Drosophila melanogaster: one gene and its partners. The protein of the gene in region 2 interacts with the protein of the main gene of each other region in a pairwise test. Each region holds a gene or a part of one and is shown on either strand. Other genes may lie near its edges.

Region 1 (9,674 bases), on a different chromosome or scaffold from region 2:
AAGTTTGCCAACGCTCTCAAGAATCTTTACGAACGCGGAAAGCAGCTGCAGTGGAAGGTTCCAGAGGACTGATTCGTCGCCAAACCCGATGCCAATTCGACGAAACTCATAATCAACGTTATCGTCAGTACAAACGCTACACCGATCTGAAAAAATCCCGGCTTCTCCCAATTTTATTATGTTTTAATGCGTTGCTATTTGCTACGAAGCTCCTGGTATTTCATGTTGTATTTGTCTATCTTTATAACAAAATCAAAACAAAGCATAAAAGTTGTATTTCTTATCAGTGATGCTTTATTGATCGTTGATGCGAATCTAAGTTGCTTATCAAATCCACAATCGGGCTAATAGGCAAAAGCGGGCAACAGATGTGTTCAGGGATCGTGCACGTCAATCGATTCAATTCCTTTGAAATTCTCATTCGCCCTCCCCTATCACCAGCGGCGTTTGTGAATTTTTGAGATGCTGTCGCCAATTTGATGAATAACCTGATGTTGGACTACTGCGCACCTACTTATAAATACCACGACGAGCAAGTCAAGCCAGTTAGTTGTTAGAGCTCACCATTCACTCAGGGAACATAGATGACAATGCATTTGCTTGGACTTCTCGTGCCGATCGCTTGCGCTGTTTTGTGCGTTGGTGAAAAATCCCTTTACCATGGTCTCGCCCAAACGGAGACTAATCGACGATTCCATTGCTCCCTCAGCTGCCGATCTCCAGCGGACATACGACGGACATGATGGGCCTCACGTTTTCGGAACACCCGGCAATCAAGTCTACATTCGGGGGCAGAACGATGGCGTATACAAGGTGCCAGGAGTAGGTGGTCAGTTCCATCACGCATCGTCGCCAGCAGATCACGTCTATACGGATGAGCAGGGGATCACGTATGTGCACAAAAAAGACGCTGGAGGACCAGGTGGCTAAGAATCATGGTTCGAGGCAGTGCATAAATCTTATTATGGATACTATTTTAAGGAACACATACGCTTAGAGGACCAGGTCTAGCTGCTGTACAGCCCGCCTACTCCACTGTGCAGCCTGCGGGACTTCGCAATCCCCAGTTTCATGTGGAGCGAAGTGGTCGCACTGTGGATGTTGGTTCTGGAGGATTTGTCGTCCAAAGGAGCAGACGTAGTCCTCAGTTCCATGTGGAGCGTCCTGGTCGCACTGTGGATGTGGGTTCCGGAGGATTTTTTGTCCAAAGGGGCAGGCGTAGTCCCCAGTTTCCTGTGGAGCGACCTTGGCAAAGGGCTTTGAAGGACTGATTGTTGAAAGGGACAGCCGCAGCATCAAAGATGGCCGCGTCCAGGGAGAAAACTTCGTGGCTCGTGACGATCAAGCAGGAATTTGGGATGATAGTGTGTCGGTGTGGAAGCGTCCGGATGGACGAACTGTCTCGGTGGGCAATGACGGAAGTGTTATTGTTTCTGGACATGGGCACACGCTGCAAGTGAGTACATTGTTTAATTTATCAAGTTTCGCTTATGAATATACTTATATATATTTTTTATTTGCAGTACTAATAAATAATGGGAAGCAGCCTTTTAATTTACAGAGATTAGGTAGCTAAAATTCCAATGATATTAAATGAACAAGATTCACAAAAACATTGAACAATTTTTCTTTTTGAACATGTGGAAATTCTAGAAAACAGCAATACAGCACATAATGAAAATTAAGTAATTGCGATAATCGCAACCATTTTTGAATAAGCAATGGACTGGCATGATTTAAATACATATACTTTTTAATATACTTTTTTTTAACAAAACATCATTTCCTTAATGTACGAGGTATTCCCAGTCTACGACTAGGTTGTGGTTTCTTCTTCTCAGCGGGCACTTCGGGAACGCAAAGATCCACTTTGGCTGGCTCCGCTGTTTGCTTATCCGCTGGACCTTTTGACCTTTTACTGGTACGACTCTCATGGGATGGCTGCTCCTCGGGTTTTTTAATGGCCACACTCCTTTTGGTTTTTGGCTCCACTTTTTTGTTTCGCCTTAATTTTAAAGTCGTTTCAGGCTGCTCTTCCTCGACTTGCTCTTCATCTTCAGCTTCCAGCTGTTCTGCAGCTTTGCGGCCTCTTTTTCGTTTGGGTTGTGGATCCTCTGCTTCACTGCTAGGTGCACGCCTCCTGCGCCTTTCTTCCTTCTTCTCTATGACTAAGCATTCATCTTCCTTCTCCTCCAAGTCCTCTGGATACGTGGTGGACTGTGCGTCATCGTCTTCCTCTACATTCTCATTTTCATCCTCATCCTCATCCCGATCCTCAGCATTACTGTCTTCGGTAGAAATGTTGCGGCCATCCGAGATACTACGCTCTATAGCTGCCCTCAAATCCGTCGACTTGATATCGAAGTCGCGCATGGTTCCCAAGTGGAGGTAGTCCGTAAGTCTATTCTTGCTTTTGGTCTTTTTGGACAGGAGAATAATGTGCTTATTGAAGTCCTCGATAACCATTATAACCTTGGGAATTAGCCGAGTCTCTCTCAGAACTTTAGCACGTTCTGCCTGGACCTTCCGCTTTTTTGTATGCTGCTGCGCTTCCTCATCCAGGGTATTAGCTTCTATGTACGTGATGAGCTCGTAAATATTCGCCGGAAGTTGTTTACCAACTGCACGTAGCAGAAGTTCAAATCTGTTGGAGAATAAAATGCAGATTAGATATCCATTAAATCTACGACTAGATGGACTCACTTGGTGCTTTTAATGTTCTCAATGGACGTATCTGATGTGTAGCTCGATATGTAGTGCTTGGTCAGGCTTTTCAAACAAGTGTAGTGCTGAATCAACAACTTCATAAGACCGTCCATCAAAGAACCTAGAGGAATACAAACGTTTGTGAGCACCAGCAAAGTGCGACTTATGTGGATTATTTGTGTGCAAATGGAACGATCCATGGAATCCAGGTTGCCCCGCCAATATATCTGGTCAATTTCGGGAACCACTTGGCATTTGTAGTTTAGATTGTTGGCTTTCGTCACAAAGTAGTCCACATCGTTCAGCTGCTTTTGGATGGCAGCATACAGATGCTGTAGGCAACTCTCGATGGTCACTGTACTTATGGACTTTAGAGTTAGCTCCACAGATTCTGAGGGAGCGTCTTCATTTTGTACGCCCAGTACGTGACCCAATTGCCGAGCAACACTGTCGAAGAAGGGACCTAAGTGGGTCTTTTGACGCTGAACGAATAGCATTCTGTGCACCAGGCCCATTTCACTGTTGAGAATCTCGTTTTTGCTGCAAAAATTTAGCAGCCAAGTGTACGATTCGGTGGCAGCACGATCCTGGTAGTCAATGTGATCCAAAAGAATTTCAAGCGACTCCAAGAGGTAAACAGGCAATTTGGAAACGAACTCATTTTTACAAATCGAATCATCAGTGCCGTACTCCGTCATAAAGTCGTCTAAAACATCCTGAATTGTGTAAACCACTTCCTTGTTTCTGCTTCCCTTTATAGATGCCAAATCTAAAAGTTTTACCATAGTTTAGATTATCCTCATATACTTAGCATGACTTAACTTACCAAATGACTTGACAAAATCTTCGAACTTCTTTGAGTACGTTTCATGAGCTGTTTTTAGGCATTCAGAAAAACACTGAGTGGCTAGGGCGGCGCTCTGCATGTCGAAATTTTTCCACAGCTCCGGCAAGCGTTGAATGCAGCGCTCGTAAATGACCTTTGTAATGTCCGTCAATTGCTTAAAGGTGCGTTTACTGTAGGCCAACTGCTTATAATCGGGCTCCAGGCGTATAGACTCCACTCTGCTGGCCGTTACGGATAAAACATACCGGACGAGGGGCTCGTTGGAGCGCAAGAGCACTGTTTTTTCTGGAGCAGCAAAGGCTACGACGTCACTAAATGGAAAATTGAAAACAGTTTTAAGAAGTAGAAAGGATTAACGTCAAGGTTACTAACTCAAGAAGTAGATGGAGCAGCTTATCCAATATGGCCAAGTCCCAAATATTATCAGGCTGTGTACACATGGTCTTCACCGGGACGCCGTTCAGTGTCAAATTGCACGTTGATGTGCTATTATTCTTGGCGGTTTGCTTCAACTGTTTATGGGCTTTCTTGGATGCATCCGATAATGCCTTAAGACTCTCCAAAAGCTTACAATGCTGATTAAAAAGAGGCAATATTTGACAAACAGCATTGTTTTGTGGCTTGGATTTGAGCAATAAGTGGCAAATAATTCCTTCAATGATATTCAGTTGCTGCAGAACGAGGGCACATTTTAGATGTGTGGCTGGCGGCGTCTGAAATCAGTTGGCATTAGTTTATTGAAATTTAAAAGTAATAATCTTGCTCACTATCTCTTCCAGGGGTAATCTGTTTGCCACCATACGATCCACACAGAAACTCATGAGCCGATTCATCTCACGAGTGTCGTAGCCCGATGGAGCTCGATCGAAAACAGCCAAGCAGTTGGCCACGAACTGAATCAACTTGCCCAGGTTGTCTTTAAGCTGAATCTCCATGTGTTGATCATCGCTAGAGCTAACCAATTGATCGTAGCGAATGCGGAATACTGTGTCTAGATCGTCACCAGCATCCTCTGCAGAGGGGGTGTCGAAGAAGCTGCGAAAGTGCCAGTCAATGACTTGCAGCACATGTGGCACTAGTTTAGCATTGAGCTCCACTGCTCTCTGAAGATCTATTTGAAATGCATTATTAGAAGTTGTATTATTTGATTTCATTCGACTCACTTTCATACAGGGAGCACCGTATATCGAATTGTTGTTGCAAGCAGTTTCGCAACATTCCAATAATTTCCAACGTGAGCATGTCGAAATTTCTTTGAGGATTACTACGACTTCCCAGTGTGTTCTGGGTCATTATGGAGTAGCCAGAGATACTGTGTTGAGTGCAGAAACTGGTGGCGCTGGAGGTCTGGCGCACAGCATTGCTGTTGTTTAGTTGTTTGAGGATCATGCAGAACCCATAAATCGCCATTCGCCGTTTTTGAATTCCACTAAAATATAAAGTGCAGAATAAAAAGTAAATACAGTACCACGAACAGGTAATTAGACCCACCTCGAGCTCATTGCTTTGCAAAGTACATCAATTAGCGCATCACGGACGCGATTAGAGATCTTTAGCAAAGGTAGAATAAAGTTCATCATGCGCATGGACTGCTCACCAGACAGCTAAAATATTTACAACGGAGTTAGCTTAAAGAACAATTATGCCATTGGACTAACTTGCCCATTGCATGTGCTCCAAAACAGATTGAATTGGTTTCATGCACTCGGAGACCGTATACGTATCAGCCACACTTAGAAGTGTGAGGCATTCTGCAAATATGTATTCTTGTTGCATAGAATTATTAAGAACATTTTGCTTGACCTACCCGAGAACTGATTTTGTTCCTGGTATACTATCATCCACTCTGAAATAAGCTTTATGATGCCTTGTCCAAAAATGAATCGCTTGCGAATGAACTTGGTTAGAAATGTGATGGCCAATGTGTGCATCTTGGGCGATTGCGATTTCAGCAAGTAAAATACGAGATGAACCAGCCCAGGAGTTATCACATCCTTGCCGTCTTTGTTCTGATCAATGAGCACCGTGAGGACCTGCTGCAAATCGACTTGCTTGCGTTGCAATGTATCCCGATACCACACGGAGTAGTCGGCTAACGTTCGCTCTTCCTCGTTGTTTTTGATCACATTGCGCAAAAAAGGTAGCAAAATGGAATGAGATATTCTAGCGGACTCTGGATCGCGATTAATGCTGGTCATCGAGATAATGGCGCTAAGCATAAACGGAGTTAGGATCACATCGGGCATGTGCAGAAAGTTCTGAAACATGGTTAGTTAAGTTACTAAGCGATCGATTGATTTGGGACCTGCTTACTCTCAGCATTATGGCCAAATGTTTTTCAGTAAGTTTGTACATAGTACAGTAGTTCAAGTGATGCAGGATAGTCTCTTCGGCCTCCCTTAGTTCCTTGTCCGAGAACAAGTCTAAAGATCAGATGCTGTCAATTTCTAGGAATATAGTCTTCTATATGGTGCAGGCTCACCAATGCTATCCAAGTTCGTTGAGTTGCTACACATGTCTGAGAAGAGCCGCTTGTAGTAGTTGCGATGGAAATACTTCTCCAGGGCCAGCAACGGAATGATCAACTGGGAAGCAGTGCTGCACATCGAAAAGAGCTGGAAGCACAGCGCTGGGAGTTCCATGGGAGATAGCTCCTGCAGGGCGCCAGAGAATTTGTTGAGTACTGTCACAATTTCGCCACTGCTAAGATTCATGGTCCTAGGGGGATTGTATGAGTTGTGTGGTTAAATTGTGGTTAATTTAAGGGTGGTCACCCACTTGAACATGTCGGCAATTGGCGTGAGGATTGAGGCTGGCCATTGCATGGTGGCAATGCTCCTTACGGTAGTGTCCCTGAACTCCATTCCATCTATGGATATGCCGTTCAGAAGAAACCGCGGTCTGGCCAAAAGCAGCGACAGCGCGTCCGGCAGCAAATCCTTCCAGCCGACGCACTTGGCGTCTCCTTGTCGGATCCCGTCCATGCAGTGCTCCACGATCCAGGCCAGCTGCTCGGACGGAAAGGTGGCCAGGTCCTGCGACAGGCGCGTGATCAGATCGAAAGTCTGTTTGTAGCTCAGTTCCGTGCTGCTCAGTCCGTCCATGAAGCTGCGGACACATTCGAATCGCTTGGCTAGCGCATCCTTGCTCTCCGGATTGAAGCCACGGAGAAGGTAGTTCCAATACGTTATGCCCTCGCTGCGTGTCATTGTGGATTTAAGGGTTTCCTTTAACTATCAAGCAATGTTTATCAATTAAGATTTATATTGCCTTCCGCCTTATGGGTCCAACCTTTTCTATTGGAGTGTTTTGAATGAGCAGTTCCAGCTCATCAAAGCGCGCCTTCTCACCCAGACTCCGCATCCACGTTAGAATTGATTCGCGTGCCATACCCAACTAAATTTATGTAATAATTTACGATTTAAACAAAGACGCGCCAGATTTCACCAACTACCACAAATTAGGAATGGTAAATGCCTGATATGATTACCGATTGCACCACCCACTGATATCGATAGCATGCAATTGGCGGGAATTTTAAAAAAATCCATAAATAGTGATAACAGTAATCTTTTCCATAAAACATTTAATTTTCAATTTCAAAACTAAGAAATAGGCATTCTATATTTCTAATTGAAATATAAAAACTATTTCAATGAAACCCAATGGAAAATAGCTTTAAATTTGTAGTTTAAGAAAAAATTTATTTGTCTACTCCATATAGAAAATCAAACAGGTTGTTTTTCCATAAAATAACAAAAACAAAAAATATGGTTGTATGTTTTACGATGATAATGCTCACAACAGTAAATAAACAAAAGTAGTTATATCTACACTTGGATTTTCAGTACAAAAGCGGACTCTTCGAAAGAGTAACCAAAGAGCGTTGGAGTCGAACGGAAAGCTCTGCTGGCTCTTAGATGGGAGTATTGTCTAGTATTCGCTTCCCTTCGCCCGCTTCGGACTACAAAGTGGCACCATATAAATCCAAAAGCTGGACTGCAGCGCCAACAGTTGCGTGAAGACAATCGCCAAGTGATCAAGTGAATTAAATACGAAGCTAAATCAAGTACACAAAATGCGCGGACAACTGAAAGAGTACGTTGGAGTGGCAGTGGTGCTGATCCTGCTGGCGGGGATCAGATGGAGCGAGGCGTTTCCCATGGACCTCTACGACGACGTGAGCGACTTCTTTGACGCCATCTCGCTGGACGATGTGGCCAATACCGGGCGCAACACCCATCCGGAGCAGTTCTGCCTCATGCCGGCACGCAAGGGCGTCTGCCGCGCCCTGATCCCCCGTTGGCGCTACGATCCGGAGCAGAAGAAGTGCGTGGAGTTCAAGTTCGGCGGCTGTGACGGCAACGAGAACAACTTCGCCAGCTACAAGGACTGCATGTCCACCTGCGAGGGCATGTAGGGCTCTCCGCATCCGCATACGCATTCCGATCCGGATAGCGATCGGTCCTCCGCGACCGATGTGTTGCCAAAGGCGGCTGCTTCCCCTCGAGCTCTGCAATCCAGCGAACCAAAGGCAGCATTCTCCACACCCAAACTCACACACAAACATCACAATCCATGCGACTAACCGTCCCTTCTTCTACCTAATATTTATGTAGTTTCTGTCATTGAATCCATCTACTTTGTACTTTCCTGGGTGTGTCCGTCCAGCACTCACCACCCATCTAGAGCTTAAGTTATTGTGATAAAATACTTGTATGGAATAAAGAGTTTTTTATAACGACCAACTCGATGTGGTGTTCACTGATGTGGGAGAGGTCTACTGATCATCTGAAGCTCACAAATATTTCCTAGAATCTGGAAGATGCTTAAAAAATTAATACCTATAGTATACTATGTATAGTATACTATTTTGGAATCTGGAAGATGCTTAAAAAGTTAATACCTATACTATACTATGCATACTATACTATTTTAGTGCATTTTTTAGTAATCACATAACAAATTTAATAAAAGAACCCTTAAATAGCAACTATTCTTGGTAAAAACAAAACAATGCTATCTTATCCAAATTTCTAGACAATTCTAGCAACTACGAATGTTTGTTTGTTGACTTTCAATCGATTGGAGCCTGCAAAATTCCATTCAGCGATAGACAACTGGTTTATTTTTTTGAATATTTATAAACATTATAAGCATATTGTCTGTTTGGGCCGTTCGAGCCAAGAGTAGCGAAAACAATTACCAACGGCCTCAAAAGTGCGAGATATCGCTGGGCGCAATTGCCGGAGGCGAGTAGCAGCAGGCTAACTTTCATATGTAGATTTCACTTGGAAATGGTCCAAAGCACAGACGAGCTCCCAATGAGAAACTGGCCCATTCATGCGATGGGCAATCAATCGATCGATCGCCCAGATGTAGACGGACATAACCATAGCAAACAAGATCGGCAGCTGCAAAGGTCAGGCACGGCACGGATGGATGAGTGGACCACGTACACGTATGTAGTTGGGTCTAGGCAAACCAGTGCGTCAGCTGCTGAAATACGCACGGATGCGGCGGCGGAGTGACGGAGTCACTCGGAATTCGGCGGATCTGGCGGAGCAAACAAACAAACCGGTGCGAAACCGATTCCAATACCAAATCCGAGCCAAAGTCAAAGCAGGTAAACATAAACAGCCGAGAGGTGCGAATTTATGCTAAGTCGATTGGCAACAGGCCAGTCGGCCAGCCAAAACAGTCAGAGAAAGACCACAAGATCTCCAATTCGGCCAACGTGCCTGCTTGGAACTCACGACTTGGACTCACTTCGAGTCTCGACCTGGAATCTGCGATCTGGAACTGAAACTGGGACTGGGCAAATTTCCAAGATTATTGTGCGGGCCTGCATTCGTCGGTATAAATAGAAAATCGGTGGATCAACGACCTGAAGCCGCTTGCCAAAACAAAAAGCGAAAATGCGGGCCCAGCCGCTACGTTGCAACATCATCCATCCCCAGCGGCGACAAATGAACTGGCTGCCGCTCCAGCTCCATTGGAGTGGTCGATCCCCTCCTGCAGAGCAGTGGCCTGGACAGTGGTCCAACAAAGTAATAGCCATCGGTGGTTAGCTTATGCCCATTCGCCGTTCCCGAGAAATAAGTTACAATGGGAATGGGGT
Region 2 (7,897 bases):
ACGATGCCCGCATCATTTGATTTTATTGCCAAGTGTTACAAAAAAAAAAAAAAATAATGATAAAGAAGGAAGCGGGAAGCACGAGAGGCGGTGGGTGGGTTGAAGGGTCGTCCTTGAGCCAGTTCAGTTGTTTCTGATTAATGCCATCCGACTTGAAGGATACAGATGCAGCGGCACAAAATGCAAATCACCCGGCGGAATAATCAAATCGAGAACGAAACTGAGCAAAATGCCATCAAAGTTGACAACGAACCGAACGGAAACTGCTCCACAAAGGCAACACAACAGCACACAATTGCACGGGCCCAAGGGCACAGGACGATACGGAATGGTACGATCCTATGGTACGATACGGAAGATGGCCCAAAAAGATACCGAGTTTCGGCAGGTGTTCCCCAAGGATCGGTACTTGGACCAATCCTATGGAACATTATGTACGATGGGATCTTGGGCATCAACAGGCCCGTAGGAGTAGAGCTGCATTGTTTTGCTGACGATGTGGCAATCACAGCTGTCTCGAAAACAATCGCAGGGTTGGAAGACAAATGCAACTCTACGATCGGTGCTGCCATCCGCTGGCTCGAGAAAGCCGGGCTAGCAATAGCGGCTCACAAGACCGAAGCAGTCCTACTAAGCAGCAGGAAAAAGGTGGAGAACATGCTGGTCTCCGTCAAGGGTACACAGGTGACCTCTCAAGAGTCCCTAAAGTACCTGGGGGTAATGATAGATCGCAGACTATCGTTCAAGGACCACGCGAGCCACGCCAGCAAGAAGGCAGCAATCACAGCCTCTTCGTTGGCGAGGCTTATGCCCAACGTCGGAGGCCCAAGACACCCGGCCAGGAAACTGCTGGTGTCAGTAGCAAAGGCTTCGCTACTATACGCTGCACCAGTCTGGAGCAATGCCACTGGCAGGGTCTCATACCTGAAAGGAGCTCGTTCGGTGCTACGGTCAATGTCTCTGAGGCTCATTAGAGGTTTCAGGACCATATCCGAAGACGCGGCGCTAGCGCTGGCAGGCCTGCCGCCGATTGATCTGGAGATCAAGGCTCTCAGCCTAATGCGGAGTGGCGCTTCCAGGCAAGAGGCACACGAGTGGCTATTAGGTGAATGGCAGAGTAGATGGCAAACGTCGCGACGGGGGAGGTGGACCTATCAGCTCATCCCAGAGATGACGGTTTGGGCAGAGTGCCAACACAAATGCTTGGACTACCACCTAACCCAGTTCCTCACGGACCATGGCTGCTTCCGGGCCTATCTACTCCGGTTCCGTCACGTAGAGTCAGCCCAATGCTTGTTCTGCGTCGACGGTGAAGAAACAGCAGAACATGTGCTAATGCACTGCTCCAGGTTCACGGCGGAGAGAGAGCAGCTAAAGACGCTGTCAGGTTCCCCGTTCAGCCCTAGTGGCTTGTTCGCGGCTATGATGGCGAACAGGGGGGCTTGGGAGCGGGGACACAGCATTATCATTAATATGATGAAGCGTGTCCGATCAGACGAGATGGCCAACAGAGTGGATGTCTAAGCCCAAACTGGTGTCCTGGGTGACGGCGGGCGAAGAATTCATCCTCAGCGTCCCCGGCTCGTCGTAAAAGGCGACTAAAGGGTGGAAGGAGGAGCCCCCATGGACTACACTGAAGGAAGGGAGTGCGACCTGGCCTCACATCCTGCTCACCGAAGTCATACCTTGACTGGCAGTCCCGGTGAGCGAGCAAGGACTGTAGAGCACGCGGAGGTTTTTGTTTTAGTACGTAGGCATAATTCCAATAGGGCTTATGAATCGTGCATGCCACCTACGGACGGTAGGTGGTATCTTTAGAAGATTTTAATTTTCCTACCGTAAGTCAAATAATAAAAAAAAAAAAAAAAAAGGGCACAGGACGAACAAGGTTCAGGTGTTCGGCTGGGCAGGATTTTCCCACGACCCCAGCCAGTTCGCCCAAATTTTCCCGTTTCCCAGCCCATTCGATGTAAGCGTGCAAGGCCAGCAAAATCAATTAATTTAAAAAATACCTATGCATTTGTTGACATTTTTGCAGCTAGACAACACCACCCACAACCACCCACTTGCCAGCCCATAGAAATCAACAATCAGCAAATATTTGCATAGCCTGCTCTCGCCCGTCTCCTGGCTCGTCGTTCTTTCACTCCAGGTGACACTCCGCATTCATTGGCATTTTCTATTTACCAGGCTGAGATACTGTCTGTCTGCCCCGTTTTGACAGTTTATTTCACAGGATATTTGTGCCACCGAATGCCGGATGGAATTTTGCTAAATTGTTGCATGTTTGCCGGATTGCGAGACAGTGGCATGTGGCAAAGCTTGTCTGAATATATTGGAATCTCATCGGAAAAGCGCACTAACACGAGCGGAGGGAGGTATTCTCCGAAAAGGGGATGAGCGCAGTTGAATGGAGCTCTAAGCATGTTAAGTTTAAAAGGGGTGCGAATCCAAAACTCGTGCTGAATTGTTTCAGTTTATAAAGCAATGCAGATTACTCTTTCTGAAGCCTACATAAAGAATTTTACCTTCATGTTTTATAGCATCGATAAGAAAATTTAAATAAATATCATAAAAATAAACAAACAATTCAAGTGAGAAATAAACAAATAATCTGCTTTCTTTATCACTAAAAAAATTTCTAAAAACTTCATCTGATTTCCAAAATTTTCTTGAAAATTATTCCACATCGATTGCTAGTGCTGAAAATATTTGAGAAGGGTAGCCGTAAGCTTTTGACTTGCAATTTTCAAAGACATTGTGTTTACTTAGTATATTTTTATGATTTTAATGAATGTGATTCGTTTCGTTAGATTTATCATAATCCGTACAATAAACATAATACATAATAGTTATCTCCCCTGCACTAAATACAAAGTTATACGTGCTGTTGAATACAGATTATTTATATGGTATATATATCTTTTTCGACTGGTATTGCCTTACTTCCAGAAAAATATATCATTTCGTTGGACCAAATATAAACACAAAAAACGAAAACTCGTAAGGGTATACTTGATATTAATTTGGCTTCTTTCGTTATTTTAAAGGATAGTCGACATATTTGGTTCACTGACAATTGCTCTTCTCAAAATGTACATAGCAGAGATTTGACAACTTCCGTTTCTCGGCAAGTTGGCCAAAACTAACATACTCGATGACATCCTTTTGTCAGAATGAAGACAAAGCTTAAAGTTGCTCGGGCAATTCAAAGCGAACCAAGTGAAGGTCTCTGTTTTAGTGCAGCGGTCTTACCGCTGCTGCTGGTAGATAGGAATGTTGTTCTTGACAGCATCGTTCTGCATGTGATAGCCGGGCGCCCCAACTGGCGGTCCGCCAGCCATGGACATGGCGGCCATCTGCTGATGCAGCTGACTAAACTGATCGTGTGGTGGTGGGTGTTGTTGCTGCTGCTGCTGTGGGGACATGTAGCTCTGCGGGTTGACGACGGCCGGCGATCCGTTCGGTCCATAAAGATTTGGTCCTGGCTGGTATCCCTGTGGTGGCGGTGCCTGCTGATGCTGCGGCGACATGTAAGCGTGCGGAGCCGGTGGCTGCTGCGGCTGCTGGATTTGTGTGACTGCGGGCGGAACTTGGGCGTACTGTGACTGGGGGTCGATGTGGTAGCTGTTCTGGGGATGCTGTGGGGGCTGCTGGCCTTGCTGCTGTGGCGGCTGTTGAGGGTGCTGTGGAAGTGGCTGCTGCTGCTGTTGGGTGGTCACGGGAGTCGGCTGAGTGTAGATTGGCTGGGGCATGGGTGCAGTGCCAGTGGGTTGAGTCAAATGGGCTGGCAGCGCTGGAAAGACGATTGAAAATGTTATTATAGGTAAATATAATAAGTATTTTAATCCTTTGTACTAACAGTTCATCTGTGCGGCATGTCCGTTCTGATAGGGCAGTGGCACCTGCCCCTGCGGTTGACCCAGATAGCCACCAGGAGCTCCAGGTGCCTGAGATGGAGCAGAAGTGGGAGGATTTGGTACGGGGCCATATGGCATCGAGTGCATGCCCGGATAATTTTGGGCCGGTGGGAATCCACCCGCTGCAGGATAACCTGGAGCACCGTACAGAGCGGCACCCGGGAAACCAGCAAGTCCAGGCATAAAGCCGCCAGCAGCGGCGGCAAAATGTCCAGCCGCAGCACGGTCATCCCGCATCAAGGTATGGTACAGATTAATGGCGTCGACGAGGTCGCTGGACAACTGCGTCAGTTGAGCGTGCTTGCGGTCGACGCGTTCCAGCTCGGCATCGATCAGCGGTCCCATCTGATGGACCTCCTGCTCCAGCTGCAGCATTTCGTCGCTGTCCTGCGAGGGATCTTCGGGATTCGCCTCGTGCAGCAAATGCAGCAGCCGGTCGATCTTTGACTCGTCGATCTCCACAGGCTGAGCTGCGGCGGCAGCTGCTGCCGCTTCAGTCTTTTGCTGCAGTGCCGCAGCGGAATCCAACTCTCGTTGCCCGGCTGCGGCGGCCGACTTATGCTGCTGATTGATGTCCAGCCGCTCGGGATCGACGGACAGATCGGCAGTGACAAAGTTCGAGGGGAAGAGACCCTCGCCGCGTTGATTGTATCCCTTCCACCAGTTTGGATCACTATCATCCAGCACATGAATGATCTCGCCGGCAAAGAAGGTCAATTCGTTTTCCTCGGCAGCTTCGAAATCGTACAGAGCTCGAACCTTTCTCGGCTCTGGCGCTGGTGCGGAACTGGCTTCGGCGCTCGGTGCACTCGAGCCGGTTCCAGCGAAAGATGGATACAATGAGGGATAGGCACTGGCGGTGCCGGTACTTGCTACACTCCCAGTCTTTGGACTGCCCTTGTTCTCCTTCAGCGACAATTCGATGGCCTTGGCGATGTCATCCTCTTCCTGCTGGCTGCTGACCACATTCGGATCTTTGGGCAGGGCGGCGGCCTTTTCGGCAACAGTCTTGCTAGTCTTATCGCCAAGATTCTTGAAATCATATCCCTCTTGGCGCAGCTTGGCATAGAGTGCGGGTATCAAGTCGAGCTCTCGATCGTTCTTATAGTCGTTTTCAGCCCAGTTCTTCAGCACTTGGCGCATTTTCTGTGAATCATAATTGGAATTAGAAATGAAATAAGTGAGTTAAAACTGTTTGTACTCACCAGTGAAACCTTTGGCTGTGCTTTGGCCAACAGGCGGCGGAACTCCGTCTCGAAATCCCGTGAAGCCACCTCCAAATGGAGCGGTTTTCCGCAGTTGTTGGACAGGGCGTCCAAAAGCGTAATCGCCTGCATCACCACATGAGGATCGGTGTGGCCCATGCGGCGCATCACCGCCTTCAGGCAATCCTTGGCCAGGCGGGGATTGGTCGTTACCTTGTCGCATACATCCAAAATCAGAGACCAGTTGTCGTTGGTATTAGTTTCGCTGGTGGCCTTTTCTATAAAACAAGAAAGGCATGAACCGCATTAGCTTATCAGTCAAATAGAAATTTATATTCTGAGTCACAGCAAAACAAAGATAAGCTTCTTCGAAAACTGATTGCAGCTAAAGAAAATCAATACAATCGGAAACTAACTAAATTGCATTAAGGGATGGCGAGGGGGTTGGCTGCGTAAACGGAGGGGGTGTGAGGGGCTGCGGGTGCTACGTCACTCAAGGTCAGCGACTGCCATCTAACAACTCCAATAAGAAGTTCAACGAACGACGCAGAGCTGCGCACAGCATCTCACATGACTTTCTTTGTTGTCTGCTCAATCGGGGGATCGGGTTCATAGGGAAAACAGGGGAAAATGGTGTGGTGTGCGGGTTTTTAGACCCCAGATAAGAATAGAAAACTATGAAACGCATATTGGACCGTTGTGCAGTCCAATTGGAACATCGGCTTGTCCAATCGGCCAACACAACAGCTTAACGATAAGTGGTAACTCACCCACGTCGGCGTCGAATGGCGACGACTGCCCAAAGATTCCCATCTTTATGACCAAACCGCTCGCTCGGCTATCTGCCAATAATCTGCGCTGCCCTGGGGTCAATAAATCCAAATCAGTTGATCTTTGTCTGTTTTCCCTATTGTTTTTCCTCTCCAATCGATTTTCGGTGCGTCACGGCGACTGAAAGCACGCTTTTGGTGTACTTCCTCCTGCGTAGACCTTTTCGCTTTTTTCCAAATCTCTTTTGGGCTGCTTATATCTTTTCGATTAGCCTAAAAACTTCCGAATAGCGCTTGCAAATTCGCTTAATTTACGTTTATTGTGTAAAAAATGACTAATGGCGAGTGTGGCCAGATTGCGAATAGTCGGGAAATCCAAAGGATTTTTTGCAGCTCATTTTCAATGGTTAGTTAGAGGTATTCGAGACTTATATTATGCAAAACATTTTTATTTATATATACATATAAATATTATTGATATTGTATATTTAAATAAATTTAGACAACTAATAATATAAATCTATTAAACATCTGATATGATTTGAGCACTGGTAGCTATGGTTTATAATAATTAAACAGTTTTCTATGCCCTTCACTCAAACTATTCTCCTACGGGTGAGAAGCGTATATTATAATAACTATGCACAATATAAGAACAAAACTAGAAGATTAATTTTTATTTAAGAAACATGAAAATATTTTATTATACGTTGACCGAATTTAAAAATACAGTGACTTAACTGCTTCACTGAGAGTCACAGAATAACTCGATTCTAGCATGCGGTCACACTAATCTCAGCATTCGAAAAAAACGCGCAAACAAAAGGGACGCTTATAGAAAATACAACTTAAAATAATTAATTTACTTAAAAATCATAATATTATAAACAAGTCAGCGCCATGACGCTTTCCCGCGCGAAGCACGCCAACCGCAACCACCTGCCGCACCTGCTGGCCAAGGTGCCCGAGGAGCACCAGGAGCCGATCAAGAATATGTGCCTCAAGATGATGTCCCACGACGCATACGGACAGCCGTACGTACAAGCAATAAGCTAATGTATCAATCCGTACTTAATCTGCTCCCTCCAGATACGATTGGAGTCCCCGGGACTTTGAGATGGGCGCCCACTTGGGACGCGGCAAATTTGGACGTGTCTACTTGGCGCGGGAGCGCCACTCGCACTATCTGGTGGCCATGAAGGTGATGTTCAAAGAGGAGCTGCGCAAGGGCTGCGTGCAGCGTCAGGTTCTACGCGAGATCGAGATCCAGTCGCGACTGAAGCACCCGCACATCCTGCGCCTGCTCACTTGGTTCCACGACGAGAGCCGCATCTATCTGGCCCTGGAAATTGCGTCCGAGGGCGAGCTGTTCAAGCACCTGCGTGGCGCACCCAATCATCGATTCGATGAACCGCGGTCTGCGAAGTACACCTACCAAGTGGCGAATGCCCTCAACTACTGTCACCTGAACAACGTGATCCATCGGGATCTGAAGCCGGAGAACATTCTGCTAACCAGCACGGACGACCTTAAGCTGGCCGACTTTGGTTGGTCGGCGCACACGCCGAACAACAAGCGCAGGACTCTGTGCGGCACCCTGGACTATCTGCCGCCGGAGATGGTGGATGGGAACTCCTACGACGACTCGGTGGACCAGTGGTGCCTGGGCATTCTGTGCTACGAGTTCGTCGTCGGCTGTCCGCCCTTCGAGTCGAACAGCACGGAGAGCACCTACAGCAAGATCCGGCGCATGGAGATCTCCTACCCATCGCATTTGTCCAAGGGCTGCAAGGAATTGATTGGCGGGGTGAGTTGGAAGATGTTTCCTTTGAGATCCATTTATTGAACAGGGATTTCATCTTTGCAGCTGCTTCGCAAGGAAAGCAAGGGCCGCATCACCTTGGTGGATGTGATGACCCATTATTGGGTGAAGGCGGGAATGGCCGAAAGGGAGCTGCAGCTGCAGAAACGGGAGCGCGGCAAGGAGAACACGGCCAGAAAT
Region 3 (6,797 bases), on a different chromosome or scaffold from region 2:
TGTACACATAAACTAACGGAGAACCTAATTTGGTGACGGCCAAAATTGCTCTCTGTCCGCTCGCTTACGATGAGAGCGTAAGCAATCTGAAAATAGAATTTGCTTGTTTGTGAGAGTTAAAACAAGAGACGAGAACGCGTATATGTGTGCGTGTTGTGCTAGAAGACGATTTTCGGGCCGAAATCAATTCTGATCAAAGAAACGAATTTACATATTTGGGGAGTTTTGGCCAATTTCGTAGCAATATGATGAAATTGCGCGCTGTTTAAAAATATCAAATTGGAATAAAACAAAAAAAACTGCAACTAAACAACTGAATCTAATGTGCATTTTAAATAATATAAATCGATCATTTACATAAATCATATTAAGTCGAAGGACTTAATAAATATACTAAATAATTAAGGCAAATGCAAAGGAAGTATGATAACTACTGTAATTTAAAACATAAATTTTCCAAAAAGAAGACATTAAATTGCTTACACAAGCACTCAACAATGCCTTATTAATTTTTCACACGTCGCAAGCTGAATACTCTAATGACAAATATTCTAATATAGTCATTTTTGAAATTTATTTTGTGACATTATGATTCGGCTATAACTATTTCTAAGCTATATTTAAATAATAATGACGTTAAGGCAAGCAAAACAAGAATTTTCCGCATGATGCCAATTGATCAAAAATAATATAGATATATAGATCAAAAATAATATATATATAAAAATAATATAGATCTATAATATAGATAGATAATATCTATGAACTTCTAAGGTGAAGGGCATATTTTGTCAAATTTACAATGCATGAGCATACGTGTGCACACATACAGTTGTCTGCTATCACTGTATGCGTAGAAAAGAGCTCTTTTGCTCTCGAACTAAAATTCGAGAGAGCCTGGAGCCACCTCTACACTATGGGGCATTTGGCCTGTTTTTTTTTACAAAAATTAATACCTCCTAAACTATTGGAGATATTTGGATGAATTTTTTTTTATGCGTTACACATGCCTCCAGGAATATTTTGAAAAAGTGGCCGTGCCCCAACTCCGCCCCAATTTTTTTTTTTTTTAATATATTATATTATAATTTTTTTTAATAATATATTTTTAAAGTTTATTTTTAATTTCAATATTGTATAATTCATAACCGTCTTCCTCTTCACAATCGGCAGAGTCTGAAGAATTTTTATCAGGTTCAAATTCGCAAGCTAACATTTGAATGACTTCTGGTGGAAGAGATAGTCGCTTATGTTTTCGCCTCTTTAAATTTATTGATGATATTATGGGATCCGTAGTATCCATTGCTCTGTAAAAGACATCTGCGAAGCTACTAATAGTTTTTGCTTTGGCTGGGTTCAACAAAAGAATTTTAAGTATGGCTGCAAGATCCCGCAGGCAGCACTTCCGTACAGCTTGAACCAAAAGACATTCGTTGTGATTCTGCGCCCTTACGAGTTCATCTGCTTGCTGTCTTCGGCCACTCAAATTTTTTAAATAATATGACGTTTTCGGGAGTCCAGCTAATTTCCTTTCCTTTTTATTTTTCTCCTTTACCTTCAGGACTAGGTGTTCTTCTAACCAATTTGAAAAACTTTCAAAAATTCATTTATTTTTCGATTGCATTTTCTCCAATTTCGCAAAAGATTGACTGAAATCATTCGTTATTAATATTATTCGTTAATCGTTCATTAAAGTCTAGCTTGCTATCAGAAATATGCCCACTGATAAAAGTGCAAATAGAATTTTCCTTTTGACGAACAACCTTTTGCTTGCGCCACACTTCCAGCAGGGCAGCATTGGAAATCGAGATATTGCTCCCTAAAAAATGAAATTTCTCAAGAAACCGCAAAAAACGCACATAGAGACTACCTGATATGAGTTAGAAATTGAACACACTACAACATGGATATAAACACTTACTGAACAAATTTGAACAAATTGTTGTAGCTCTATTCAAAGTTTAAAATTTTTTCAAACAACTACATGTTGACACCACTTGCTAAATGTACAAATTGTTAGAAATAGGCGCACACAATAAACAATATATTAATAACAACACATAATAAAAACCTAAAGATTGATTATCTATTTCAAATTATACTCTCCTTCTTCTTCTTTTTAAATTTTAACACTTTGAAAGTTAAGCTAAATTTTGCGCGCAAAGCAGCCACGTGATATATGCTCGCAACAGCCGACTTTAACAGCTGTTATTATAACGGTGCATTGTAAAATTAACTTTTGCGGGCTGTATCATAACAGTTTAACGTATTTCCAATGTATTAATACTAAAATACTTCAAATTTGCATACTTGTGAAAAACACATTATTGTAAAAAAAACAGGCCAAATGCCCCATAGTGCTCTAGAGCCACATCGAATGGCGTTACGCATCTTGTTATTCTGGTGTCTTTGGCCGTACCCTTTGGTCGAGTTCCGCAACAGATTTTTAAATCAATAAAACATAGCAAGGCAAATAATAAAATGAAAACAAAACTTATTTTTAAACTTCCTTCTTCACACTGAATATTATTTCGTGCAATTATCAGAGGAAGTAATCTGTATAAGCTTCATACTTTAGAGAAGGCAACTAGATACTATGCTCAAGAGATAATTCCTCAGGTACAGCAAGGAAAGATGATTGAGACACACACTGAGAACTGCAGACACATGCATATGTATGCAGATTGAAATACAGGTATAGATCATACACATCCAGATTCAGGACTACCCTAAAATGGGCCGAGTCAATGAGTTTTCAAGATCTCTCACTACGCAGTCAATGATATTCTAGAAATAATACAGTTTAAACAAATTAGACTAGTGTTAAGCACTTCAATTGGTGCAGATTAACCAACGGATATGCAGGGTAACGAACCCTTGAAATTTCAAAGGACACATCCGAAGTTGTCTGCTGTAGTTTGTTCGTACAGTTTAGAGGTTTCAAACCAATAAGGTATTTCAGCACCGGATTCTTAAATTTGTTATATAAAAAAAAAGCAATTTTCTAATCGTTTTAGAAAACAAAAAGGTGTTTTTTATGCCGCAGCTTATTTTGTGCAGTATGTTAATATTCAATAAATGGCCATTTTAAACCTAACAATTTTTTAATTTTAATATCCGAGATTGATCCAACTTCGCGGAGAAGCGGAAGCTTCTCCCTAAAAGAAAATACTGTATTGAATGAAGGCCGAAAAGCACCGAAGAACTTTTCAATGAATACCAAATAATATATGTACATATATGTAATATATGTTGTCAAAAATTTAAAAAAGGAAAAACGTGCAAGCTACAGCAGAACGAAAAAAAATTTAAGTGCAAAGTAAGCTTTAAGCCAGAAAAAAAAAAAATTACAATAAAAAATTTAATTTTAGATGGAGTGAGAGATAACATTATAGACGAGTTTCTCGACTACCAGATACCCCTTACAAGATACGGCTTTAATGAGGGATGCACATTTAGAATACGGAAATCGTCTGTTTTTTAACCATGTCAATAATTCTTTCAAAAATATTGCGTTTACATTTTTCTGGTATCTTTCATCGAAGCAATGCCAACATAAAAATTAATTTAACTACACGAAATAAGCTCAGACACTGAACACTGATTTTTATGTTGTGTGAATTTTTAGATGCGTACACCATATGCATCTCTTAATATGTTGTTAATATGAGACACATTAGACACATATCTATCTCGGGCCAGGCATAACCAATTGTTTGATTTATTGATTTTTCTTAATTTAATTGTGGTTGTCTTCGCTGTCAAACTTATTCATTTGCATTAATGTATAAAGTATTTAACTAGATGTATTCTTTAAAAAAATCAATTACAAACGTATGTACATACATATATAAATGTATGGTTATTTCTTACCGACTGATGAAAGAGATTGAATGTCATTTTGTTTTACGACTAGGTTACTGCCTGTTGAATTCGGATTTTGATCTAATAATATATGGGCCGCGGACGGCAGTTGATGGCTCTGTCCTTGAGACTGCATATTTATTCGTGTTTGTTCAACATGCATTAAAATCCAACGTTGATAACATGTGTCTAAAATCAATAAGCCACCCTTAAGTAAAGACACTGTGATGTTGTTTACATGATTAAACCTTTAAGAAAGAGAATATCAGTAAAATATCAATATGAATTGCATTAAGTTATAAAAGCAACCTGATTTAATTATTTTCAAACATCCACTCAGCTGTTAATACGATTTACAAGAGAAAATCAAATATTTACATACTCAAATATTGAACACTGTGAACAGCAACTTAATAGCTTATACCCTATTCTTACGGCGGCAAAAACCATATTAACATAATATCAATGTTATACCAATGATATACCACATATAATTTCAAATGAAGAGAGAATGGTATTGTCGAGTCAATCAGATAACCGTTAGTCAGCTCGTGAAAATGGGAACACGAAATTCATTCATCATTTTTCTGGGATATCGTTAAATACTGGGATATAAAATAAGAACAAAATTGTTTCAAATTGATCAAAAGTTCGGTCTTGACCGGTTTGGAAGGTGTAAGAAGGGCCGTGGCCGCGAATTAATAGAAATTGTATACAAAAATCAAAAAATTTCAAAACATTTTGAAATTGTTAGCGTTAGAGTGGTCATGGCAAAATGTTTTCTGGCAAATTCATAGAAATTTAAAAGAAAATAAAAATATGAAAGAATAATAAAACATTTTACATAAGTGTAGACGTGGCAGTTTTGTCCGGTATGTGTGCGTTGGATTGCACATGGCAACATGGGTTAACAAACTTGCGCGGCGCCTATGTCTCTAGAATCACATATCACATACAGTTTGTCAAGAAACTGTTTACACACTGTAAAATAAGTTGAATTTTTGACTTTAAAGCTAAAAATAAAGGGTTTTTTGCTTAATTAAACGCAATTTTTTTTATAAAATATAATCAAACAATATTTATTTTACTTATAAATCAAAAAACAAATTAAAAATATTAAATATACAAGAAAATAAACAACAAATTCCAAGTTTACACGCTTTTAAGACTGTCAAGAAACTCTCTTTATTACAGTTGCGGTAACAATAATAGCATCATAAGCACATTTCGTGTTTGTCCCAGCTTTTCTCTATTTTCTGACACTTTCTCATTATTTTACTCACTAAACTTAAATACTACAATGATTTTCAATCGAAATAAAAAAATTAGTAACAGATCTCATGGATATTTTAAAAATAATTGGTAAAACAAAAAAAAAACCTTCAAATTTAGGCGGTAACAAACATAGCACTGTTTCTCGTAGTTTGCTTGGGATGCGATCGGGTGTGGTACCGTTTTGGTTTTAAGACTCCTCTCAGCCGCTAGGATCTCGGGCTCCGTGACAGGCCGCAATTCGTCTCCGCTTGGCCCGATCTGGGAATTGGGAATGGCAGACCGAACAGGAACAGAACGTTAAAGATGTTTTCCAGAGCAGATGGATCGCTTTCTGCTGCGACGCAGACTTTCAGAAAGCATTCACGATTGCTGGCTCTAATCGTTTTCTTCGGTGAATTCTTTGTGACCTTGTATTCCGTATGGCATGCTTCCAGACGCGTGGTGCCACGAGCTCTTTGTACGAGTCTCGTTGCGCGTAGGCTGATGATGCGCTGCAAGGCAATATCCTCGCTCCACCAGAAAACCAGGGTGTGGTGCCTTCGGTTCGTTTTCCTCATTCGCATGCTTTGGCCGCAGGCCTCCTCCACCCTCGCTACTATTTTATCCGCTGCTGCGATCACAAGTTCGCCTCGTTGACCGTCAGGTAATGGAGAATGCCGGCGGACTCTTCTAGACTCATGGTGTTCTGTCGGTAGGCCTTAGGTTACTGCGTGTTAGCCCTGCTCTCGATTGCCTTTGTGCCTATTTCGACCTGGATCGCCTCGTGGTCACTGACTGTGACCACCTCCTTGATACCCCAACAGGAGAAGCGAGCGAATGGACTGCTTATGAACGTGAGGTCGATAATTAATCCTGCAACGGCACTGTTGAACGTCCAGCCTAGCGAATGTTTCGAGATTTAATTTGCCCTTGGGAGTTGTGTGTGGCGACCACACTAGAGCGGCCCACACGTTAAAGTCCCATCCGACCACGACGTTGCACCGTTCTCGAAAATCGCAGGTAAGTATAAGCAGTTGTATAATTATATATGAAAATGCATTGAGGCTTAAGAATTTTTCATTTGGAAATTATATATGCTTACAGTATTTGAATTATTTAAAATTATACTGCTAATGTTAATATTAAAAAATTCGTTATTCTTGAATATTTGTTATATTCGTAAATATTCTTTAAAAAATAACAGACAGAAGGGAGCGTTTCCGACCATATGAAGTATTTATATTCTTGATCAGGGACCAATAGCCGAGTCCGTATGAACGTCGAGATCTCAGGAACTATGAAAGCTAGATTGAAAGCTAGGTTAAGATTCAGCATACAGATTCTAGGGACAAAGGCGCACACACACTTTTAAAAACACGTGTTGATTTTTTTTACATTATTATTAATATTGTAAATTTCTATCGATTTGCAAAAAAAAATTGTTGCCTCGCACACTCTAAAGCCCTAAAACTGCCACTCGCACAATTTTTCAAAATTTTAGATATTTTTTTATAATTTTGTTAGTCTTGTAAATTTCTATTGATTTGTCATGCCGACTCTAAGGCTTTAAAACCGCCCAAGACTGAAAATTTGTTGGATATTTTGTTATAATTTTATTAGTCTTGTAAATTTCTATCGATTTGCCAAAACACTATTTTCCACTCCCACTCGAACGCCCT

What was found. Proteins that work in one complex are often made in the same cells at the same time.
Region 1: the proteins of Stam (region 2) and FANCI interact in a two-hybrid assay, tested with the Drosophila melanogaster proteins (one large-scale study listed by BioGRID).
Region 3: the proteins of Stam (region 2) and sxc interact in a two-hybrid assay, tested with the Drosophila melanogaster proteins (one large-scale study listed by BioGRID).

The regions. Positions count from the first base shown.
Region 1 is NT_033778.4:8,932,838-8,942,511, forward strand, and holds FANCI (fanconi anemia complementation group I), read right to left. Parts: upstream 6,953-9,674; 5' UTR 6,917-6,952; coding exon 6,845-6,916; intron 6,787-6,844; coding exon 6,332-6,786; intron 6,272-6,331; coding exon 6,036-6,271; intron 5,977-6,035; coding exon 5,867-5,976; intron 5,812-5,866; coding exon 5,361-5,811; intron 5,305-5,360; coding exon 5,216-5,304; intron 5,158-5,215; coding exon 5,045-5,157; intron 4,983-5,044; coding exon 4,717-4,982; intron 4,665-4,716; coding exon 4,321-4,664; intron 4,267-4,320; coding exon 3,926-4,266; intron 3,865-3,925; coding exon 3,533-3,864; intron 3,476-3,532; coding exon 2,704-3,475; intron 2,645-2,703; coding exon 1,780-2,644; 3' UTR 1,739-1,779; downstream 1-1,738. Other genes in the region: PAN2 (Poly(A)-binding protein-dependent poly(A) ribonuclease 2), read left to right, coding at 1-72; CG13748 (uncharacterized protein), read left to right, coding at 7,632-7,973.
Region 2 is NT_033779.5:10,856,876-10,864,772, reverse strand, and holds Stam (signal transducing adaptor molecule), read right to left. Parts: upstream 6,238-7,897; 5' UTR 5,939-6,237; coding exon 5,896-5,938; intron 5,404-5,895; coding exon 5,126-5,403; intron 5,067-5,125; coding exon 3,863-5,066; intron 3,797-3,862; coding exon 3,252-3,796; 3' UTR 2,767-3,251; downstream 1-2,766. Other genes in the region: aurB (aurora B), read left to right, coding at 6,796-6,929, 6,985-7,702, 7,763-7,897.
Region 3 is NT_033778.4:5,304,729-5,311,525, reverse strand, and holds the start of sxc (super sex combs), read right to left. Parts: upstream 4,239-6,797; 5' UTR 4,028-4,238; coding exon 3,874-4,027; intron 1-3,873.